2 linked regions of the Diceros bicornis minor genome follow. The protein of the gene in region 1 interacts with the protein of each later gene in a biochemical or structural test. Links are inferred from orthologs where the notes say so. Each region holds a gene or a part of one and is shown on either strand. Other genes may lie near its edges. The genes, in order: PRPF40A and MECP2.

Evidence for each region.
Region 2: the proteins of PRPF40A (region 1) and MECP2 form a complex in vitro, tested with the Homo sapiens proteins (2 studies listed by BioGRID, with this or other methods). The link is inferred for Diceros bicornis minor from reciprocal best matches to the Homo sapiens genes PRPF40A and MECP2.

Annotation. Positions count from the first base shown.
Region 1 is NC_080749.1:36,488,332-36,500,171, reverse strand, and holds the start of PRPF40A (pre-mRNA-processing factor 40 homolog A), read left to right. Parts: upstream 1-6,778; 5' UTR 6,779-7,062; coding exon 7,063-7,464; intron 7,465-8,589; coding exon 8,590-8,721; intron 8,722-11,840. Other genes in the region: ARL6IP6 (ADP-ribosylation factor-like protein 6-interacting protein 6), read right to left, coding at 3,849-3,902, 5,660-6,059.
Region 2 is NC_080781.1:138,163,214-138,174,298, reverse strand, and holds the start of MECP2 (methyl-CpG-binding protein 2), read left to right. Parts: upstream 1-6,461; 5' UTR 6,462-6,526; coding exon 6,527-6,588; intron 6,589-11,085. UniProt on the Homo sapiens protein: Chromosomal protein that binds to methylated DNA. It can bind specifically to a single methyl-CpG pair. It is not influenced by sequences flanking the methyl-CpGs.

The sequences.
Region 1 (11,840 bases):
TGTTCATACATTCATTAAAAAGTTTAAGTTCACAGTTTCAACCATTTTTTCACTATAAAAAGAAAGTGAGTGAGTTGTTCTCAACTTGTGCCTTTCTAAGAGAATGGGTGACTTACCAACACACCCTTTGTCTCAGAACTTTTTACCATGTTTCTAATGTTCTGTATCATGAAATTATGACGGTAGACAGTCTCACTTATCGTTCTGCAGAAGACATAATTGATGAACTCTTCAAATGAGCTGGCTTCAACTTTGACTGAACTCAGTATATGTCAGTCATCTCTTCTCTGTAGATGTGCAGAAGCCTAGAAACATCTCAATCATAAAAGAGGAACTAAATGGGCAGCTCAAAAAGTAAAAAAGCCCTTGACATTGCAAGATGCTAGCAATCTGGTCCTACCCACAAGCGGGACTTAATGTTAACTATTAACTAATAGATATCAAGGAATGACAGGCACCCAAGATCAAGTTCAAAAGCTTTTTAGACACTGAAGGAACTCCATAAAGTCTCATTACAATTTCTGTATGGCACTATTTACATTTATATAAAAGTACTGCCCTACATTTAATTTGATGATAATAGTCTTAGATTAAGTATTTTCTCCTAAAGGCAATTCCTTCTTATGTATTTACTGCAGGTTTGCCTCAAATAAAAAGTCATTTTATTATACCCTATATTAAGACTAGGGGAAAAGATGCAAAAAATTGTAAATAGGACTGTGTGAAATGTGATAAAATACGGAAAAATGTGACAGATGCAAAAGCCAATGTGCAAAAATGAAACAACTCAATGTTGTATATAATTAGTGTAATCAATTTGGCCTGCGAATAACCTTAAAGAGAAGTAACTATAATAGGTTTCACAAGTTTTATTAAACTCCCTATAAAATAGGCTTACAGTAGGGGATGGTTTGCAGGACAATTATAAAAGAAAAGCCCTAAGAACTCTGCAGTGTGATTTCTCCCAGGGGAGATGAGTTCCAAAACCAGCTGATATTATCAATCACACTTTCCTGGCTGGACCACCTCATTGGTAAAGAGGAACACTATGATAGCCTAATCCTATTAGCCATTAGGGTCAATTAACTCCTCAAATGCACTGATATTATGCTCATCATGAACCGTTTTTTTTTTTTCAACTACAAGTAGGGCTTCTCATGAAGATTTCTTTCAGAATGACAAAATGACAAGAGAATGGCAGCATCCCAGCTCCTGTGGAAGTTAGGTTTTTTAACACACATTTGGGCTTATATATTGTTTCTTGTTAGTCTACCGTTAGTCAACTCTCAAGGACTTTACCCTTGAATAAATTTTTTTTAAAAATGAGATTCTGGGCCTGCAGAAGTATTTCTCAAACTGTGGTACATTAGAATTACCTGGAAGATTCTTGGGACCCACCCTGGGCTGAAACAAAATCAACAGGTGCTTTTTAAAACAAAATCTAGGTAATTCTTACACATACCAAAATGAGAATCGCTGCTATAATCTGCTCTTACTGAGCTATGCCAACCTTGGATTAGGACTAAATTGCAATAAAAAAATTTGCAGTGTGCAATCTGTCTACTCTCACGGTAGAGCAGTTACTGTGCTCACATTATTTGTTTCTAAAACCCAACCTACTTTTAAAGAATTGAGGCAATTTGCAATAAAATTTAAACACGAATCACTGAAATATAAAGATAACAACATATATGTACAATAATAATTATGCCAAAAAACAAAGGGTAAAAAACAACACAATCAAACATCACATTAGCTATGAGGTTCCTAGTAAACCACATGAAATACAGTGAAATACAACAAAATCATTATCACTGATAGAAGGCTGCATTCTACTTTTTCTGTCCATAATGGACGACTTCAACAACAGTTTTTATTAAACATTCTGGATTGTTCTTTTCTGTGAAAACTTTTATATCAATTGTAAAAAGGTAAGATATAATTTAACAGGCATTTCTTGGGGAGTAAGCTAATGTAGCAATCTTTCTTGATATCTAAGTTAACAAAATCAGGGTTGATTTAGATGCAAGTCAAGGTTTGAGAGAACTGGCCTATCTTTAACCATCAGCTGTTGTAAGTGGACTATTCAGAGGCTAGTAGTCAATTCAAAACATTATTCAGTAAAGAGGTTAACTAGCATTTTTCTCCCCAACAGGAGAATTCCAGCTTAGGCCAATGAAGGGCAAGTGTTACCTCAGTCACCTCAAACCTTATAAGAGCTTAATCAACTCAATCACTGATTCTCTGAAACAGATTTTGAAGAATCTTATTCTCTTGCTAGAGAAGAGTATTCTCTATCACACGTTATAATGTATATTTGCTATAAATATAACTATGCTTACTTTAAAATTAATCCTCAGGAAACTGACTGAATAGTCCATTAGGTGATGCTGAATATATTCTCCATTTGACCAGTGGAGCATTAGTTCAAAATAAGGATCTTTGTTTTGCCATAACTACCGTTCAGTGGTTTTTTGCCATAAAGATACAGCGGTTTCTCCTCACTCCTGAGATTGTTCCCGAATCTTGAAAGTAAATTCATGTCACTAGCAAAGACTCAGATAATGATCTTCCTATTTGCTGTTATTGTATTAAGCATCTACCAAGTACACCTAAAAGCAATACCAGACTACTTAACTGGAAGTGGAAAAGGAAGCAGGGCAATGACAAAGCCCTATTATACGCCTTTTGATAACAAGCCATTCAAAAGCAGATAACAAATGCCACTCATTCTTTTCATAAATGTGAAATCTTGCCAACTTTTAAATAGCAAGTTAGAATTCATGCCTACTTCATAAGATTTTGTTTCTACTACATCAAGAGTTGACAGATCAATAAATGCTATGAAAAACCTCATAATCTTGGTTGTTTTTTAAGGATGAAACAGTATAACTACATACACTAATAAAATGAGTAAGTAAAAAGTACGTTTTCTCATGCAAGAAGTTGAGAAGAACGTAGACAAGTTTTCAAGGGATATCTAGCAAACTAATTTGTGTGCAATTTGAAGACAAACGTTTTCCTTTGTGCAAAATCAGTCAGACAATACTTTGTATCATCATGAGGGCATTAGCCTTGAAGAGGTAGTCTACACAGTTTAGTTAAGACTGGGGGAAGGGGTGACATGCAAGATAGGATCTCAAACTTTTTTTCCCCAATTTAGAGCAATCAATCAAATAATTATAGCAAATAGGAGTAAAATATGCCAGACAGGTAAAGTTCTGAACTCTTCTAAATCATTTTGGCGGAGAAATAAATACAAGATAAACAACCCTTCAATTTTTCACTAGAAACCTGTAAACTACAGCATGCTACAGTCTACAGAAAGTCTGACTCTTTCCTAGTCATCGTTAACCTGTGCAAGTATGCCTAATGCTTTTCAAATTTTTTTTTTACAAAAGAAGTTGCTTTTAAACAGATTTGAACTTAAATTTCTCCTAAGGTCTACTTAAGATGTTATCTTCGCCAAGTCTGTGAGAAAGTGTGTTTGTTTTTAATTCCTGGGAAGAGGCGTGGGGAGACTATTCCAGAAGGTAATTAGAAAACGTTAAATATTCTCTGGGTCTTAGTCACCCACAGTTGTATTCAAACTGTATTCCTAGTGTGTGTGGTATACCCACTCACACATCACATGCCATACATACATAAAAACAAAATCTAATAAAATTTACCACACACAGTAAGGTCTTTCAAGGTCTTTTCATTAGAAAGGTCTGCAAGATCAAGACTGAATCAAAAGCACAAGGGAATATATTAAGTATTTTATCTAAAATTTTGTAGAGTTTAAATACGATCTGGAAAAACAAAAGTGAGCTCAAAATCAAATCAAGTGACAATTAAGTCCATACCTAATAGCCCAGAGTCTACATCAGCTTCTTTCTTCAAATTCTCAGCATGTAATTCTGTAAATACAAAAAGGTGCTTGGGTAAAAAAGATGATTTTATAATTTGAAAAGTAGCTTAAAGGCTGGGAAGACACTGTAGAGTTGTGGAGAGTGCTTTGGAGTCAGCAACAACCAAGTTCAAATTCTGCTTCCATTTACCAGCTATGTGACCTCCAGTGAGCAAATAAGACATCTATATGAGTCAACTGCCAGGTATATAAAACAGGAATGTTTACTTCCTAATGTTGCTGTGAAGACATTTTTTCTTTTTTGCTGAGGAAGATTGGCCCTGAGCTAACATCTGTTGCCAATCTTTCTGTTTTTTTGCTTGAGAAAGAGTAAACCCTGAGCTAACATCTGTGCCAATCTTCCTCCACTTCATATGTGGGTCGCCACCATAGCACGGCTGACAAGTGGTGTAGGTCTGCACCTGGGATCTGAACCCCTGAATCTGGGCCACTGAAGTGGAACACGCCAAACTTAACCACTATGCCACCAGGCTGGCCCTTGTGAAGACATTTTATGTCATGCAAACTACAGCAGATACTAGGTTTTGAGTTCAGTTCCTTTCTCCATTCTCCAAAATAAGCAAGAATCCATGTCTTCTGCAATGGACTTCCACATACGAGGTTTTGTGACTTTATGATATAAAAGCAATCTCTCAGAGCAAAAGAGAAACTACCTATAAGATGAAACTCTTCTCAGAGGTGCAGTGAAAAAAAGAGGGGAGGGGACTGATAGGAATGAAACACTGGCACCCAAATATTTAACATTGACAGTTTACACCCAATACCCTTTTATGAAAAGGTACAACTTGCACATTAACTTGCCAATCTGACTTCTGCATGAAAACCAAGCATTACCAAGCTGTTAGAAGCCTTCTGCAGCCCACTAGCAGCTTGGAAACAATGAGGAAAAATAAAAACCAGAGCTAAACAGACTACTGAATAGTGAAGTAAGAGTAATACTTCAGTGACAACGCGTTGGGTGCTTTTCACACAACAAACTAAGGTAGTTTTTTTTGTTTGAATTTTTCTTTTTCAATAACTTGGCCAAAATCACATACGAGTGACAAATGAGATTTAAACTCATGTGTGATTCTTTCTACAGTAATATAAAATACCCAACCATACAATCCTTCTGTATAAGCTTTGGAAAACCTTTCAAGGCACATCTTTTCAGACACAGGAAAATAAAACTATTAATCAGAGAAAGAACAGACTACAGCTCCCACAATAGAGCTTTACCACTACACTAGGATGGGAACCCAAAATCGAGAGGGGCTAATTATTTTACCTATAAAAATAGAAACTTGGGCTGAATGGAAATCCTTGTCCTCCAGGAATTCTGTGTGTACATGGGAATCAGACGATAGCACATCTTTAATCATCTGTCCGTTAAAATCTTTGAACATGTATAGCCTATTTTAATTATCTACACACTTTTCACCATCTCTTTTTAATGATGGTTATTCTCCTTAATTTTGCCAGTATTTCATCTCAAGTGTTCGCCGACTTGAAGATACTGTTTCTTCAAGAGTACCCATTTAACTAAGACTTTCTTACAATAGGTCTCCTGATGATGTACCAGGGCCTTCCACCTTTAAGAAAAGAGAAAGCAAACGGGGAAGAGCCAAGAAAAGTGCTGATGAATACTTTAGGTGAAAGCGACTACCACCTCACCGGTCTTTGATGGGGAGGGGGGTGATGAAGGCGAGAGCCACGTCCAGGCTCAACTTTACTCTGGACAGCCTTTCAAGGCCGTAACTACAATACCTTTTACGATCAGGTAGGTGATGGCCAGGAGGAAGGCGAGGAGGATGGCGAACAGCAGCGAACACAGAATTGAGAGGACCTGGACCGGCCACCGCCGAGCCTGGGCTCGGCCGCCCGCCACCGCCGAGAAGATGCCATTGCGCTTATCGGGCAGCACCGGGGACCCATCCCCGTCCGGCGGGAGCAGCGAGCCCCTTCTAGGCTCCGACGACGCCCCGGCCGAGAACTCCGCCCGCAAGTCGCGGGCCACTTGGTCGCATCCCTCCTCCTCGTCGACCTGACCCTCACCCCAACCGTCCCCCTGAGAGAACGCGGAAAACGCCGGCCGAGCGACTGGGAAAGGAGTGCCCAGCCGGCGGCGCAGGGGAACCGAGGTCCTCCCGCTCTCTAAAAACGACATGGCGGGAAAGACGATACGGCGCGCGGAGGCCGAGCGTCTCCCATCCGCCCCGCCCCGCGCTCGCACAGCCAATCAACGGCCGGGGCCCCCCACGGCCTCCACCACCCTGCCCTGGCGCGCAGGGGTGCGCAAGGGTGCGCGGTAGGGCGGGGAAGGTGCCGTGAGGCCCGAAGAGAGACAGGGCGCCCCTGGGCCAGAGCTCGACCCCTTGGCAGTAGGAGGGAAGGAGAGCAGGAAAGCGCGCAGGGAGAGGCGAGCCGAGGCCCAAGACAGCCGAGTCTCCTCTCCCTGCAGTGCTTCGTCCCGGCCAAAGACCTTCGCCACCGCCGCGTCACCTCCAGGCAAGCGCGCGTCCCGCCAGCCCCAAAGCCGCATCTTCCCGACGCCCGGTCCTAGCGCCTGCCCGTGCACCTGTGATTCACATTCCCAAACCTATTTGCTTTCTCCCTTCTTCCCGGCTACGCTCGCACTCTTTTCCGCGTTCCCTACTTAACGGCAGCTCACCGCCCGGCGCTCTCGCCTCGCCTTAACTGCCCACCCCACTTTCCCCTTCGCCTTGTCCTCCCCACCCCTGCCACAACTTCCCTCCACGCAGCTCGACACGCCTCCTGCTCCCGCTCCGCCCCGGCGCGCGCTCTCCGGCTGGTGCGTACGGAGCTCGAACCCTCACCTCGCAACCCCTCCTCTCTCGCCCTCCCCGCCCCCTCCCCTTCGCCTCGAGCACCGCACGCGCGCATCCGGCCACCGCTAACGCTAGAAGCTGCTTATCCTACCCCCACCCCACCCGACCCTACCCCTGGCGGCCTCAGGTTTGTGGGTCGTACGTAACTTGGGCGGGGGGTGAAGGTGGCAGGCCCCACGGCCCCACCCCATACGGGGTGAGGCAGTCTAAGCTCGGGAAGCTGGGACACGGTTATCTTCCCTTCCCGGGGGGAAGTTGGTGGAGTTTTCCCGGCAGAGGACTCGGCGCAGAAACTTCCTCCGTCCCCTTCCCCCCCCCTCCATGCAGGCGACGCCGAGTGAGGCTGAGGCTGGGGGCGAATCGCCGCAGAGCTGCGTGTCGGCAGCTCACTCTGATTGGACAGCGGGGAAGCCTGTCAGCTTATTGGCCCCGCTGATCCCGCCCCGTAGCGCGGGGCAGCCTTTAACCTTTGGCCCCAGCGGGCGCCAGCCACTCAGATCGCTTCTTGTTGGTATGTGTAGCGGCAGTGGCCGCCGGCGGAGCAGTCTGAGCCCGACGATGAGGCCGGGGACGGGAGCCGAGCGTGGAGGCCTCATGGTGAGTGAAATGGAGAGCCATCCTCCCTCGCGGGGTCCCGGGGACGGGGAGCGGAGATTGTCCGGCTCAAGCCTCTGCTCCAGCTCTTGGGTCTCTGCTGACGGCTTCCTGAGGAGACGGCCCTCGGTAAGGGATCGGTGGGGCAGGGGGAAAGCGGCACAATGAAAAACGGAGTCAGAGAGACAGGAAGCTTTAACCAAAAGGAGAAGAAGATAAGAGTGGACGAAGGAAGAGCTCGCGATGGTGGGATATGTTCCGAGGGAGAGAAATGGAGGGCGGGGATGCACAAAGGGAAGGATGTGGGACCCTGGAAGTTCCTAGCGGGCTTGGCCTAGACAGATGCGCGGTGTAGGTGCTGGGCCCTGGGCGGGTTGAGCGTCTTGGAGAGGTAGGCCCGATTTAACAGGGAGGGGGAGGCGGAGACTTGATTCTGTAGACTTTAAGAGAGGCTGCCAAAATCTGTTTTCACCTGTAGTAGTGGTGTCTGCAGCGGAGGACAGCTGGGGGAATTGGCAGGGGATAATACCTGGTTTTAAGACCTGGAACAATGGACACACGAGTCAAGAAAGTAGTTGTCTTACAAAAGCGCATTGAAATGGGCAAATTAGTTGTTTGCATTTAGTGTCTTTGAATGACAGACCTCAATCTTTGAAAAAAATTTTTTTGGCAAAAGTAATTTTACCTGTGTTAGAGATTCTATTAGGAAATTGTGTTTATTTGTTAGGAGTGAAGTGTCTCTGGATACCCATACTGTTGTGTTTTATAATACCAACTGTCATCTGAGTTAATTTGGTAAATTCAGAGTTTTAAAGCTTAGTAAAAGTTTAGAAATAAGTTTAATATGTAGCGTTGTAAAATAACAGTAGGTGGCTATCTTCTGTCTGTGTGAAATAGGACAGAGTTGTGGTTTTTTACTGTAACAGTTTTTAAATTGGCTTTCACATACATTTCCTCCGAGCTTAGCAAGCAAGTTAGTAACTAAGTCAGTGTGCTTTAAAAATAAAAGCTACGATCTGCTGTCCACTAATGATTTTAATTTTTTCCATTTTGTTCTGGAATTTGGTCAGTTGCAAACCCATTATAAATACTAGTGTAGTGCAGTTTATTTAAGATGAGAAAGTATAAGCTAACCCAATAGTTGAATTACACAGCCTAATGTTATACCACTATACGTAACTGAATTATGGGAATCAGATTTTTGAGAAGCATTTATTGTTATTTGCTAATTTTTAAATTGTCCCTGTTTTTCAGATGGGGCACCCTGGCATGCATTATACCCCAATGGGAATGCACCCTATGGGTCAGAGAGCCAATATGCCTCCTGTACCTCATGGAATGATGCCGCAAATGATGCCCCCTATGGGAGGGCCGCCAATGGGACAAGTAAGAATGTTTTTGTTTTGTTTTGTATTTATTTGTTTATTTTTGCTTGTGGTATTATTGTGTCAAGATTTCAAAATCTGGGTCAATATTTGCAGCTGTTTAAGAATTAGTTTATGCCAGAATAACGTTTTCAAATAAGTCAAATGTTCAATCGTGACACTAACCAAATTTTGAATGTAATGAAAAGTCTTCTGTATAAAAGATTTACTTTCTACTGCAACAAAACTAAGAGGTTTTTTTTTTTTTTTAAGTTAACAGTGTACATCTAGGCTTTTTAGTTTAAAGACTTTCTTTCCCCCAAGTATGTCAATTGATGTTAATGTTCTAAGAGTAAATATTATCTGATAGGTCAACATAATTTATGTCGGTGGACCATGTAAATGCATAGAATCGGAAAATAGTAATTGTTTAGGCATTTGGCTTAGAATGAATTTTATTCCTGAAATAGCTTCCTCTTGTGTGTATGCGCGCGCGAGTGTGGTGGGGGTGGAGGTGGGGAGGTTCTATTCTAATTTGATTCTTCATAGCACAGTGCCAAATAAGTAGTTCATTTTCCACTTACACTATTTTGTTTGTTTTTTTAAATGCTTATTGCTTCTGCACTCCTGCTTTTGAGCTGTCCCTTCCATCTCCAGCATAAATTGTAAACGGACATTTTGTAGGAGTGATTTGGATCAAAAGGTTTTAATGCTGACTCAGTGAATTCAGTAGAACTGAGTTCCTAGAGAAGCATCCAAGAAAGGTAACAGGTTCAGTTACCATGAATAATTTTATATCCCCTGTTAGGGTCTATAATAAGAGTATGCTTTGGTGGCTGAGTTCTTTCCATTTGAGTATCTCAATAAATCATCAAAAATTTAGGCTAACAAAACATTTTGGAAAGCCAGTCAATTAGGTATGATCTTTCTGCTAATTAATACTGTTTACTTTGATAATTGTTTAAGCCTTGATGGTTTAAGTTATTGGTAAAATTGTAGTGGAGAAAGGAGCTTGCTCTGTCTCTCTCTCTACTTAACTTTAAGAGTAGACGGGCTTAATGTCAAGTGGTTTTCTTCCTTATAATATAGCCCTTAATTTTGTGTAAAAATCTTTATTTGAAGGCACCAGGCCCAAAAGATTCTGCCTGTAGCAGTTCTTTAAATAAAAGAACCATTTATTCTGTTACTCTAAAATATCACAAGTTTTACAACTCCCTAGGTGATGGAGAAACAACTCTGATTCCTCTTCTGTTTCTTTCCATCTCTAAGCAGCAAGGAGCTCTTCTTGTTTTCTTAGTAGAGCTGCTCTAACTAGATAATGAGCTTTAAAAAATATTTATTCTTTAAATGCTCTGGTTCTTATTTAAAATTAGTTTCTTTCCACAGAAAGATAAAATAAAACAATTTGCTACTGCCAGATGCTTCTCTCTTTTCTGGGGCCTTCTGTTTCCATTGGGCCAATCAAGGTAAGTTTTGCAAGGGATGACCTGCTTACCCTTGCTGTAATGGTGCTATTGCACTACCAAAACCAAGATACCAGCTAGTCATTTCTAGTAAAATGCAGATTTCATTTTTTTTTTTTTTTTTAAGTACTTTCATGTATCTCATTGACATAAGCTGGTCACAGTTTGCTTTATGGCCCTTTCTCCTTAGCAATATCAGTGACCATCTTCCTAGTAAGGTTACTTGCTACCTGGTATACATCCATTCAAATACTCAGAATTTTACCTTGTGGTTTTATTCTACTTTTTTTCTTAGGCCAGTATATGCCATGTGCCTCTAAGTGTACCTGACTTTTAGATGTTTAGAAGTCTGTCTCTCCCTTTTGGCTCCTGTTAGGATAATAAATGAATGTCTTCAGAGTTCAGCTGTGGGGGTCCCAAGAGAATCCTCCTTGTTTTTTTCTTAAAATTAGATTATTCCTTTTTTTTCTTCTTAACATCTAACTAGCAAATATGGGGCCTAAAACTAATTCTTATTTTAGCTTTAATAACAGACTGGGAGGGCATGGATAATTTAAATGCTCAAGTAATCCAGAAATCTAATTTAAAGTTCTGTAAACAACTACTTTAAAAATAAAGTTGATAATTAGTAAAATTGATCCTTTTTTCTGCATCATTTCTTCTGTCTACCCACTCTGGGAAGTATTAATGAACAGTAAGTGGTCAGAAGATGAGAAGAAGCAGGGTGCCTGTATATAGTTCACTGCAGTGACATAAAGTTGGTAGGGTTCTACCATCCAATTTTAAAAAGTTAATCACATTCTTTAGACTTTGGGACTGAAAGTTATGGAACATTCATGTATGTTGCCTAATTCACATTAAGATCTCATTCTGGGACCAGCTGAAGGCTAGAATTAGTGGCAGTCCTACTTGCTAAATGATTGTGGTCTTTGTAATGTTACTGAACATGATGAAATTCTAAAACTTCTTTGTAAAATAATATGCAGGCTGGGCAGGATAACAGTCTACAGAAGCCAGAGTTCATAATTTTTCAAATGCAGCAAGTTATTTAGATTAAAGAAGTAGTGTATTTGTTTTTATTTTATTTTATTTTTAATTCATGAGATAACCTAGAATGCCCTTTTTAGAATTCAGGCTGAATCTATTAGTAGTAATAAATATTTGGAAATTATCAAATGGAGCTTAATATTTCTTTCATGTTTATTTCAATAATCTGTCCTGTAGGTTAAAGTTGCCTCTTTATTACTGTACATTAACTTCATATGGGAAAGTTGTGCTTCTACTTTTACAGAATTATAGGCTCTTACAGCTGGAAGAGACCTGACAAGTTGTATAAACTTTAAATAATATGTGAGTTAAATAATGATTTATCACTGGTTAAAAAAACCATGTTAATAAAGTAATTTTCCTGCTTGGTGGCAATACTAAAAAATTTCCAGTAGACGTTTGCATTAAGATACAGTTATGTGTGAGGCCATCTTCTTTCTCCATATCTGTAGTAAATAATGTTTTGCCTTTAAAATGTTTTCATGTCTTAGTCTTTTGTTGTCTTTTCTACACAAAGGACATGCAAGTTCTGCCCTCTTTACCACAGATGATTTTGCCTTTACTTAAGCCCAAGAGAGTCCTCCTAGCTGGCTCTTTTTTTCTTTTTTCTTTAATTTTTCTCTTTTAATGA
Region 2 (11,085 bases), on another chromosome or scaffold:
CATTTTGAAACTAGAGCCTAGACACATTAAATTTTTTTTTTAATTTTAAGATAAAAAAAGAGGAGCTAGGCGCCGGCCCTGTGGCTTAGCAGTTAAGTGCACGCGCTCCACTACTGGCGGTCCGGGTTTGGATCCTGGGCGCGGGCCGACGCACTGCTTGTCCGGCCATGCTGAGGCGGTGTCCCACATAGAGCAACTAGAAGGATGTGCAACTATGACATACAACTATCTACTGGGGCTTTGGGGAGAAAAAGGGGAAAAAAAGGAGGAGGATTGGCATCGATGTTAGCTCAGGGCTGATCTTCCTCACAAAAAAAAAAAAAGAAGAGCTAGATAGCTATTGCAGATTTAATCTGCTTTAGGGCAAATAGGTCAGTTTTCCTGCTATGGCTCCTCTGTGTAGGGCAGGGAGCTGAGGAACAGAGTTCACATCCCGCAAATGCTAGAGTGAGGAGAAAACTGTTCAGGGGTTGCCACCATCCATGCTGGAAGCCCTAGCTCTCTACCGACTTTCATCCCATTCTTTAGAGAACTGTCAGATGTTTTGTCTGCAGGCCTGCACCAGCTGCCAGCTCAGCCCTCTGGTGGAGGAGAGGAGGTTCCAACTGGTGCAGTCGTTCTGTAGTGGGGCCTTCAATCAGTTCCCATGTGTTCAGTCCCATTTGATTCGATCGTCTTCCACCACATGCCTGCTGGTACTGAGCCTACTCTCTGGTGTTCTGTCTGGCAAACTGGCTCCCACCTCCTCTGTAGTTCCCTTGTCCAATATTCTAGGCTGGATCTTTCCTGCCTATTTTATTTATCAACTAATTCCCGATTGCTTTCCAAAAATTGTTGAAATCTGTGCATTGAGGATAGACTCCATCCTTACCACGTTCTCTTCACTCTGATGGTTTTATTCCTTTCTGTTCCTCGACACTTTTCTTGTAGTGAGCTTCTAAGGGTAAAGAAGGAAAACTCTGTGTGTTTGTGGGTGTATGCACTTGTACATGAGTGTGAGCATGATGGATCAGAATCAATTCATTTCTTATCTATTTACCTATTTTCTAATAAATGTAGTTAAGGTTATTAATTTTTCTAGATGACCACTTTGGTCATACAGCATAGGTTTTAATAATTTTTTTTTAATTTTTATTTATTTATTTTTCCCCCAAAGCCCCAGTAGATAGTTGTATGTCATAGTTGCACATCCTTCTAGTTTCTGTATGTGGGACGCGGCCTCAGCATAGCCAGAGAAGCGGTGTGTCGGTGCGCGCCCGGGATCCGAACCCGGGTCGCCAGTGGCGGAGCGCGCGCACTTAACCGCTAAGCCATGGGGCCGGCCCCTAAGAGGTTTTAATATGTAGGGCTCTCACTGTTGGTCATTTCTGAAGAGTTTATATTGAAGCTTGTTTTTAAACTTCCAAGTGGAGAGTGGTTTTGCTTTGTTTTACTTTGGCCCATTCTTTTGTTTCTAAGTTTGAATTTTAATGTATTGTTGCCAGAGAAGCATAGTGTTTGAAACAAATTTGAGTTATTTTGTGGCATCATCTGGGATGTTAGTTCTAAAATTTGGGACCGTCTGTTTTACCCTTCTCATTTTCCATTGTCATTTTGGATTTGCTCTTCTAAAAAATACCTATTTGCTATCAGTTCAAGGGAATTTTAGACAGATGGAGTAGAAGTTTGTGCTCTGTCTGCCATATCGATAAAATCCTTCTGGTTGTTGGTTTCCTGTCAATTGCTTTCTACACTATATTTTCCTGGATTTTATCTTCTACAGTCCCATTTTTAAGGAGACCCATTTAAAAAATGTTATAGTTCCATTTTTTTAAAATGGCCCAGTTTAAATTTTACTAGTAGGGGCCCACCTAGTGGCGTAGTGGTTAAGTTCGAGGGCTCCAGTTTGGCAGCCCAGGGTTCACAGGTTCAAATCCCTGGCTTGGACCAATGCACTGTTCATCAAGCCATGCTGTGGTGCCATCCCACATACAAAAAATAGAGGAACGTGGGCACAGATGTTAGCTCAGGGCCAATCTTCCTCACCAAAATAAAAAAAAATTTATTCATAAATACTTTTTTTTTAAAGCTAGTCACTTTATTTATTTTTATTTTTTATTTTTTAAATTTTATTTATCTTTCCCCCAAAGCCCCAGTAGATAGTTGTATGTCATAGTTGCACATCCTTCTAGTTGCTGTACGTGGGACGCGGCCTCAGCATGGCCAGAGAAGCGGTGCATTGGTGCGCGCCCGGGATCCGAACCCTGGCCACCAGCAGCGGAGCGTGCGCACTTAACTGCTAAGCCACGGGGCTGGCCCTATTCATAAATACTTTAAACTCTATATTTTTCTACTTTTCAATGGCAAGAGTGAAATTGTATCATTTAAGTCTCATTTATTCAGGGGCCGGCCCGGTGGCACAAGTGGTTAAATGCACGTGCTCCACTGCGGCGGCCCGGGGTTCGCCAGTTCGGATCCTGGGCGTGCACTGATGCACCGCTTGGCAAGCCATGCTGTGGCGGTGTGCCATATAAAGTAGAGGAAGATGGGCATGGATGTTAGCCCAGGGCCAGTCTTCCTCAGCAAAAAAAAGAGGAAGATTGGCAGATGTTAGCTCAGGGCTGATCTTCCTCAAAAAAAAATAACTCTCGTTTATTCAAGCTAAGGAATTTAGCAAGACTCTCTTCATTGGTTTTCTCTTTTGAAAATGTCTTGACTTCTAGTCTTGTACACTTACTCTTCCTGATCAAAAGTAACTTGTTGCAGTCTATAAAAACTCCTGGATTTTGACTAGTGCAAAGAATTTCCAGATTAATTTATGAGGAGATGACATCTTTATGATGTCTACTCTTCCTTTCCAGGAACATGGTAGTTTCTATTTTTTTTTCAGGTCTTCTTTTATGATTTCCAGTAAATTTTTATTGTTTTTTAATGTAGGGATTTCGGCATTTCTTATTAAGTTTATTCCCAGCTGTTTTAGAATTTCTATAGCTAGACTGAGTTGAATCTTTATTTTTTCCCATTACTTTTTCCAGCTTTTTATTACTGGCTGGGTCTATATGCCTGTGTCCTAACAACCAGGGAATAGACTTGAGATTAATGGGTCTCTCTCCTCATGGTGAAACTCCAAGGATGAGGTGTCAAAGAGAATGGGAGGAGAGGACACTTGGGTGTTATGTCCCACGGATGATGTTGCACCTTAGCTCTTGTGCTGTTTCTTGCTTTGTTCCTACTTAACACCATTAAGTATGATGTTTGCTCTAAGGGTTTTACAGATATTACCTTTGATCGGACTAAGGAAGGCCCCTTCTATTCATAGTTCCCGAAGATGTTGTTGTTGTTGATTATAAGTAGGTGTTGAATTTTATCAAATGCTTTTCCTGCATCTAATGAAATAATCATATATTTGTTCTCCCTAAATCTGTTAAGGTTGATTTTCTAATTTTTTATTTTATTTTTTTGGTGAGGAAGATTCCCCCTGAGCTAACATCTGTGTCAATCTTCCTCTGTTTTGTATGTGCGTCGCTACCACAGCATGGCCACCAACGAATGGTGTAGGTCTGCCCTGGGAACTGAACTCAGGCTGCTGAAGCAGAGCGTGCCAAACTTAACCACTAGGCCAGGTGGCTGGCCCCTGATTTTCTAATTTTAAACCATCTTTGCATTCTTAGGAGAAAACTCAACATGGTTATGATATATCATTACATACTGCTGGATTCAGTTTATTTGTCTAGAATTTTTACATCTATTTCTATGTCTTCTGTCATACTTTCATTGGCTCCTTATAGTAGTTACATTAGTCTCATAAAATAAGTTTGGAGAGATTTCTTTCTTTTCTGTTTATCACTGGAATTACCCACTCATTAAAGATTTGGCAGAACTCATCTGTAAAGCTCTCTGAACTTTTTTGGGAGGGGGAGGGTAGATTTTAAAATATATAGTCAATTTCTTTGTGGTTATAGAGAGCCTGTCCAGGTTTTCTGTTTCTAGAATCAGTTTTGGTAAGCTGTGCTTGTCTGGGAAGCACATTTATTCATTTTGCTTATGTTTTCCAATATACTGACATACAGTTCTTCATAATAACCTTTTAAAAATTTATCTGTTTTATCTATTATCTAGTGTATAATCTATTGTATCTGTGGTTACATCTCCTTTTCATTTCTAGTGCAATTTGCTTGTCTCTTATCTCCTTATATCTAGCTTGGTAGTGGGTTGGCTTTTCAGCTTTTCAAAGAATCAGCTCTTGATGTTCTCAGTCCTCTCTATCATTTGTTTCTGTTTCATCAATTTATGCTCATTTTAATTTTTCTTCCTTCTAGTTTCTTCAGGTTTACACTGTTGTTCCTTTTATAGCTTCTTGAGTTGGATGTTCAGCCTGTTGACTGCTTGTTGACCCAATTGCCTACTCAACATCTCCACTTGCACATTTAATGGGCACCCCAGGCTTAACATAGCCAAAACAGAATTCTTGATCTCTACCTCCAAAAATGTGCTTTTCCTACAGTTTCCCCCATCATGGTGAAAGGCACCCTTTCACTCAGTTTCTCAGGCCAAAAACTCAGGAATCATCCTTGTTTCTTCTCTTTCTCTATACCCTACATCCAATCCTCTCTGCTTGTGTTTTTTTTTTTTTTTGGTGAGGAAGATTAGCCCTGAGCTAACATCTGTTGCCAATCCTCCTCTTTTTGCTGAGGGAGGTTGGCCCTGAGCTAACATCCATACCCATCCTCCTCTATTTTATGTGGGACGCTTGCCACAGCATGGCCTGACAAGCGGTGCACAGGTCTGCTCCTGGGATCCGAACGTGCAAACCCCGGGCCACCAAAGCAGAGCGTGCAAACTTAACCACTACACCACCAGGCCAGCTGCATCGATTTTGAAAACATTGCTTGAATCTCACAACTTCTCAGAACCTCCACTGCTACCACCCTAGTTAAAGCCACTATCACCTCTCCAAGACTGTCGCCAGGGCCTCCTGACTGGGCTCTTGCTCCTAGTTTTCTCCCACCATGGATAGCTCTCCACACTGCACCTACAATATAGATCTGATGATGTCAGCTCCCACTTTAAAATCCTCCAAGGGCATCTCATCTCAGAATAAGCTCCCAGTTCCCATGGTGGCTCCAGATGCCTCTCCAACTGCAAACCCTATCACTCTCTAGCCCTTGTTAGTCCCCAACATGCCAGGCATAGTATCTCCTCAGGGCCTTTGAACTTGCCAGGGATGTTCTCTCCCCAGAGATCCATATGGGGAAATAAAACGAGGGCAAAAGTCTATGGATATCTAAATAGCAACCCCTTCACCCTAGCTTTATCTATCTCAAAGCCCTTATTACTATATGACATTATATTATATGCTTATTTGTATGTTTAGTATGAATCTTCCCCACAAGAATCTTAGTTCACTGTCTTGTTCAGTACTGAGTATCCAGAGCCTGGAATAGTGCCTGGCACATAGGAGGTATTTAATAAATGAATGGGTTGGGGGAGCCAAATCAGAATCAGAAGGTTCCTTGTTAAGCACAGAAGCAGCACAAGGAGCATTAGATGAATTGGATGATGGCTGGATCAGAGTCAGGTGGCTTTGACAAATAGTCCTGTCCTGATCACCCCGTTGGCTAAAACTTTTCTCATACTCTTAAATATTTTTCCAAAACGGAACTGCTGGATCTTAGCTCCCAAATCATCTCTTCTAGGAAGTCTTCCCTTTTCCCTCGAGGCAGAGCTAAGTGCGATTCCTCTGTGCTCCCACTGCCCCTTTTCCACGCCTCCACCAAACCATCTGATCCACCAACGACAGGACTCGTGCAGCCTTGGCATGCACCGTCTTCCCCCACCAGAGGTTCACGAAGGCCAGGGCTGTGATTTGTTGTCAGTTTATTCCCTGTCCCTATGAGAGTGTGGCACAAGGCAGGCTCAGATGAAAGAATGCAATGGGTAAGCCTCTTAAACCAAGGTCCCTCGGCTGGAACAACGTCAGGCTCCGGGGCAGGCAACTTTGCTGCTTCTACTGAAGATGATGACATTGAGAAAATGCAGGTGCAGTGAACCGCTTACTGCCGCGTATTTTGGGCGTTTGTGGACAGCGCGGGTCAATGGCCCGGGAGGGCCGCGCAATCAGGCGTCCGAAGCCTAGGCCTTTACTCGCCCCAGCATCCGCAAGGGCCCATTAATCCTTAATATTCAAATTCCGCCCACTAAACCAGCCCCTCCGCGCCCAAGCCACCTCTTTTCCCCCAAATGACGGCTGACGACAGCCAATCGGCAGCTGGACAGGGAGTCCGCCCCCTTTTCCCTGGCCGGAATGGACACCAACTCCCGCCAATTGGCGGCGTCACCGCCGAGACCCCGCCCTGCCCCAGCCGCCGCACCCAATGGCGAGCGGGCTCGCGGCGGCGCCGGGGGCGGGACGCGGGCACGCAGGTGCAGCAGCGCGCAGGCCGGCTGGGAGGGCGGGGCGCGACGTCGGCCGTGCGGGATCCCGGCATCGGCGGCGCGCGCGCTCCCTCCTCTCGGAGAGAGGGCTGTGGTAAAAGCCGTCCGGAAAATGGCCGCCGCCGCCGCTGCCGCGCCGAGCGGAGGAGGAGGAGGAGGCGAGGAGGAGAGACTGTGAGTGGGACCGCCGCGGCCGCGGGTGGGGACCCTTGCCGGGGGGCGGGGGGTAGGGGCGGGACGTGGCGCGGGAGGGGCCCGCGGGGTCGGGCGACAAGGCTTGCGGATGGCGTCCCTCCTCTCTACCCTCCCCCTCCCGCCGCCGCCGGTGACGGCTCCCCCCTCGGCCCGTCACCCGCACTTGCGGGTGACCGTCGTCGGCGCGGCCTCCCAAGGCCGCCGTCGCCTGGCGGCCCCCTTCCTTCCGCCCGCCTTCGGCGCGCATCCCGGCCCCTTGCCCGGCAGGCGCCCCTGTTGCCCGGGCTTCGCCTGTCGGGGCTGCGCGCGCGTCGTGCCCTTCGCGGGGCTTCGGGCCCGCGGCGCCGTCGCGCGCCCGCGGCCCCGGCCTCTCCCTGGATCGCGCTCTCCCCTCTCCCTCCCTCGCGCGCCCCCTCTCCCGTTACTCGGCCCCCCCACCGGCGCGCGTGCGCAGTCCGCCTCCCTTCGGGAGAGTGCGCCACAAGGGCTCCTGTGCTCTCACCCCCATCTCCAGGCTTTGCCTCCCCCTCCTTCTCGCCTATTCCATGACTTTCTGCCCCCACTGCGAGCGAGTCGGTCCACCATCTCTTTTCCCATCTAGCAAGAACAAGTAGGTGGCAATTATCGTCCACCCACAAAAGGGACTAGACAGTGTGTTCCTGGTCCCACAACTCGTCATAAAGAGGCGGTTATAGTTCCCTTTAGGAGCCGTGGGTAGGGCAATGTGTGTCCGGCAGCACCTGAGGCTCTTCGGTGGGAGCATGCCCCCAGGGTCTTTGGGGGTGCTGTGGCCTCAGAATATGAGCGCCTTCCCATCCTCCCCCCCTTCACCAGCGATCTTCCAGTTACATAAGTGGAGTGGGACATAGTATGTAACGGGCTCCCATAGACCTGGAGCGCGCCCTGCTCAAGATCACCAGTACCAGATGAGGCAAGTTCATCGCATCGCTGTGGTTCCTGTCAATTGTCCCTGAAAGTTTGTTTTCTTTTTAGTTTGGTTATGACTGAATCACCCAAACTGAAACTCAGGTGACTTTTATGTGGCGTGCCAGTGTTTGTGTGGTTTTGCACTGAAGACTTAAGGTCATTGTGAAGAGTCTAAAAAGATTGCTCTCACAGAGGAGACCGACCGACCGTTTATGACATTGCTAAGTGTGGACCCGAGGGGGGAAAAGCTTGCTCTGGAATACCTCTGTGGCGGTCGCTTGGTGTGGATTGGTTACAGCAGAAATGGGCTCCACCACAAAATTGATATTCCTGACTCATGGTCAGGCAGATGTGTGCTTCTGGTTATTTTTCCAGGAACAGGAATGGGCTCTGCAGAACCATTCACATGTTGTGCCTCTCCTGTGCAGGATCAGTACCCCAAATAGATGGTAGGATGGAATTCAGGGGGTGGTTGTGATCGTGGAACCAAACCTACCAGCGTGTGATGCTAAGTGGCTTAGAATTTGTAGGTCTCTCACAAGTTTTAGGTATTTTGTTATACTAGAAATATGAAGCATATTTGGGCCTTGGTAGTAAAACTCACTGTTAATAGGCAATTATTACTCTAGAGGATAAATTTGGGTTTCATGGCTGGAATTTTTATCTGGATCTCAGTGATTTCAGTTAACAACGAGATTAAGCTGACCTCTTGGGTCTTTTGAAGTATGCTGGATCCTTACCAAAAAAAGCCCAAAAAACAAAAAACCAGGGTCTGGATTTTTTAGGTCTTTTGGAAATCTCTATCAGAGATATAGGGAAATAGGCTTATTTATGGGCTTTTTAGGACTTCTACTTCAAATCTCAGTCAGGAAGCCTATGAAACACTTTTATTTTCTTATCCGGACATGTCAGAACCTTAAAGGGCACAATCAATCTGGTAGACATACAGTTGATTAAATAAGTCGCCACAGATCACCCTATCGTGGCATGTCAGCTAGGTGGCAGATCGGTGAGGTTCATTCTTGTCCACACACAAGACACACAAGCCTCGCTTGACGAAGGTTCCAAGGTTTGTACCTCTCAACCTGAGACATGACAGGACGAGGGCTCTGCTTTGTTATGCTTCATTGGCAATGCGTTTGCCTCCTCGGGTGCCCCTCCATTTAGCTGTTGGTCGTACCCTTAGCCCTTTAAACAGCACAGCTTCCAGAATATAGTTCTCTGCAAGGTGCCTGGTGGCATGTAGAGTGTGTGTCCTAATAGCTCGAAGAAACCTTCTACACTTTCTTGCTGGTACTGGCCTGTCACCCTGTCTTTTTCTTGTTGTTACAAATTTGCCTGGAATGCTTTAAACCTAGAGTACCAGGTCTTTGTTTCACCTGATAAAGCATGACGCAGTCAAACCTTTCTCTGACTTTTGTGCTGTTTGTGTATTGGGAGGGTTAGAATACAATTTTGCATTCTATTTGCAATTTCCAGCCAGAGTCATTGTTTCCCCGCCTGCCCTGCCTGTGAGTGGCCGAATCTAGTGGGGTGAGGAGGCAAGCTGTGGAGTTTGACAGAAAAACTGGCTAGATGAGTCCAATATGATGTTGCCCCCACTGGAATACTCCTTCCCCTATGTGGAAATGGAATGAGAAGCTCACTTCTTGAACCCAAAATAAAGAAGAGCAGAGGTGAAATAGTTTCCACCACTAATGCCTGGGACTGTTTGCATGATAAATGATGTGTCTTGGAACCCATAATCTTTTAGAAAGGTGAATATCAGTGGAAATCTTTTAATTAGCTAGGAGCAGTTTGTCGCCAGGCTGCCTGAGTTATCTATGAGGAGAGAATTGTAGAAAATGTTTGACATTTGTAGTAACTAGTGTTTTAAGCACATGGGGTAAAAACATAGTCCTAGACTGGCAACAAGTTCCAGGGAGTGTGGCAGGACACCTGCTTGTTTTCACTGCCTCTGCAGTGGTGACATGCGTGCAGACCAGCTTCGTGTGGCCGGCAGACACAACCTTCTTTCTTGGGTAGAACATTATTGCCACTCCGGCGGAAGGAGCTTATCTTCGGTGCTTCTGTACCAGCCTTCTCCAGTCCAACTGCCATTGTCACCACTGTACCTTCAACTCATTTCGGGTAGGACAGATGTAAGCAGGTTCCTCTTCCTTGGGCTCAGTTACACACAAGTTGTGCTCTTCTGCCTTTACCTGCTCTCTTCTGCCTTTCTCTTGCAAGAAACTTTTTCCTATTGAAACCTTGATTTGCATGCTATTGCTTAAATACTTGGTTCCACCACTTTGATGGTAGGTATGGTGTGAGGGGGAACTGAGTGGGAATGGGGATTTGGAGGTGGGCAGGGCAGCCCCACTCCCATGTCAAGGGGGGGCCGTGGTCGTTCTGTTAAGAGAATAAAGCCTTGGCCTTTGTAACTTCTTCAGGGCACACTTCTGTTGGGTATGCTGGCATGGGAATGTGTCCTCACCAGAGCTGTTTTGCAGTTACTGCAGAAGTCTGTACTCTTGGGAGCAAGCCTTAGGAAGGGTTCACTTGTCTTCCTTGCCTAAGAGCTGAGGGCGTTCTCTATATGGACCTGCAAATGACTGCTTTCTTGGGTTTTCACCTAACTGCTCTCATTTGCTGGCTCTTTTTTCCCCCCATGAATCTTGAATTAATCAAAGATCTTAAACTTTCAGAACTGGAAGGAACCTTGGTCCAGCTCCCTCAGTTTACAAGTAAAAAAAAAAAAAATGTGGCTGTGAGAAGTTGTGGCTTTTCCAGAGCCTCCCAGCCAGGATACCAGTTTGATTTTTATTATATAGCTAACTGAGTAATACTGTTACCTTGACTTCTGGGGTTTCACAGCATTCTATGACTCGACTGTTTAAGGGAATTAGAAGGCCTCACTGCACCTCAATAGATAATTCTAGGTATCATCCTGGTAGTTATAGACGAGCCATAAAAGACTTGGTTGGTGTTGCCCTTCCTCTGGGTTTGAGTACATGAGTAATTGTGTGAATGGCCTCTAAGTTGTACACTTAAGGCTTTTTTTAGTCTAAAGATAAAAGTGCTACTCTTGGGCCAGCAAGGTATCAGAGATTAGCTAATATGGGACAGTTTAGATTTTAACAAGGAACCTATGGTTATCTTAACGATGAAAAATGTAATGACAAAAGTCCTTCTTTGAACGTGTTCAAAAGCAAAAGAGAAACTATCAAACTAATAACTCAGTTTGTTGAACATTGCAATTTACTGCTCTGAGAGGCTCTGAAACAGACTTGCAGGTTTTGGAGGATGGCTTTGACTCTCCCAGAGCACTTGGTTTCCATTGGTGCTGCTTTTTTTCTCGCAGGGTTAAAGCCCCTTTCCGTGATGTTACAGCAGCTCGTTGCAACTTCAGCTGCTTGAAAAAGAAGGGAGGCTTTGCCTCTGGATTTCACGTGTTCTTTTTGGAATGACATTTTGATGTTGCATGTTCTCTTGAACATGTATTATCTCCCTGCGTATTTCTGTATGACAGTGCAAGAAGTGCTTACCAGAGATCACCACTAACGGTAT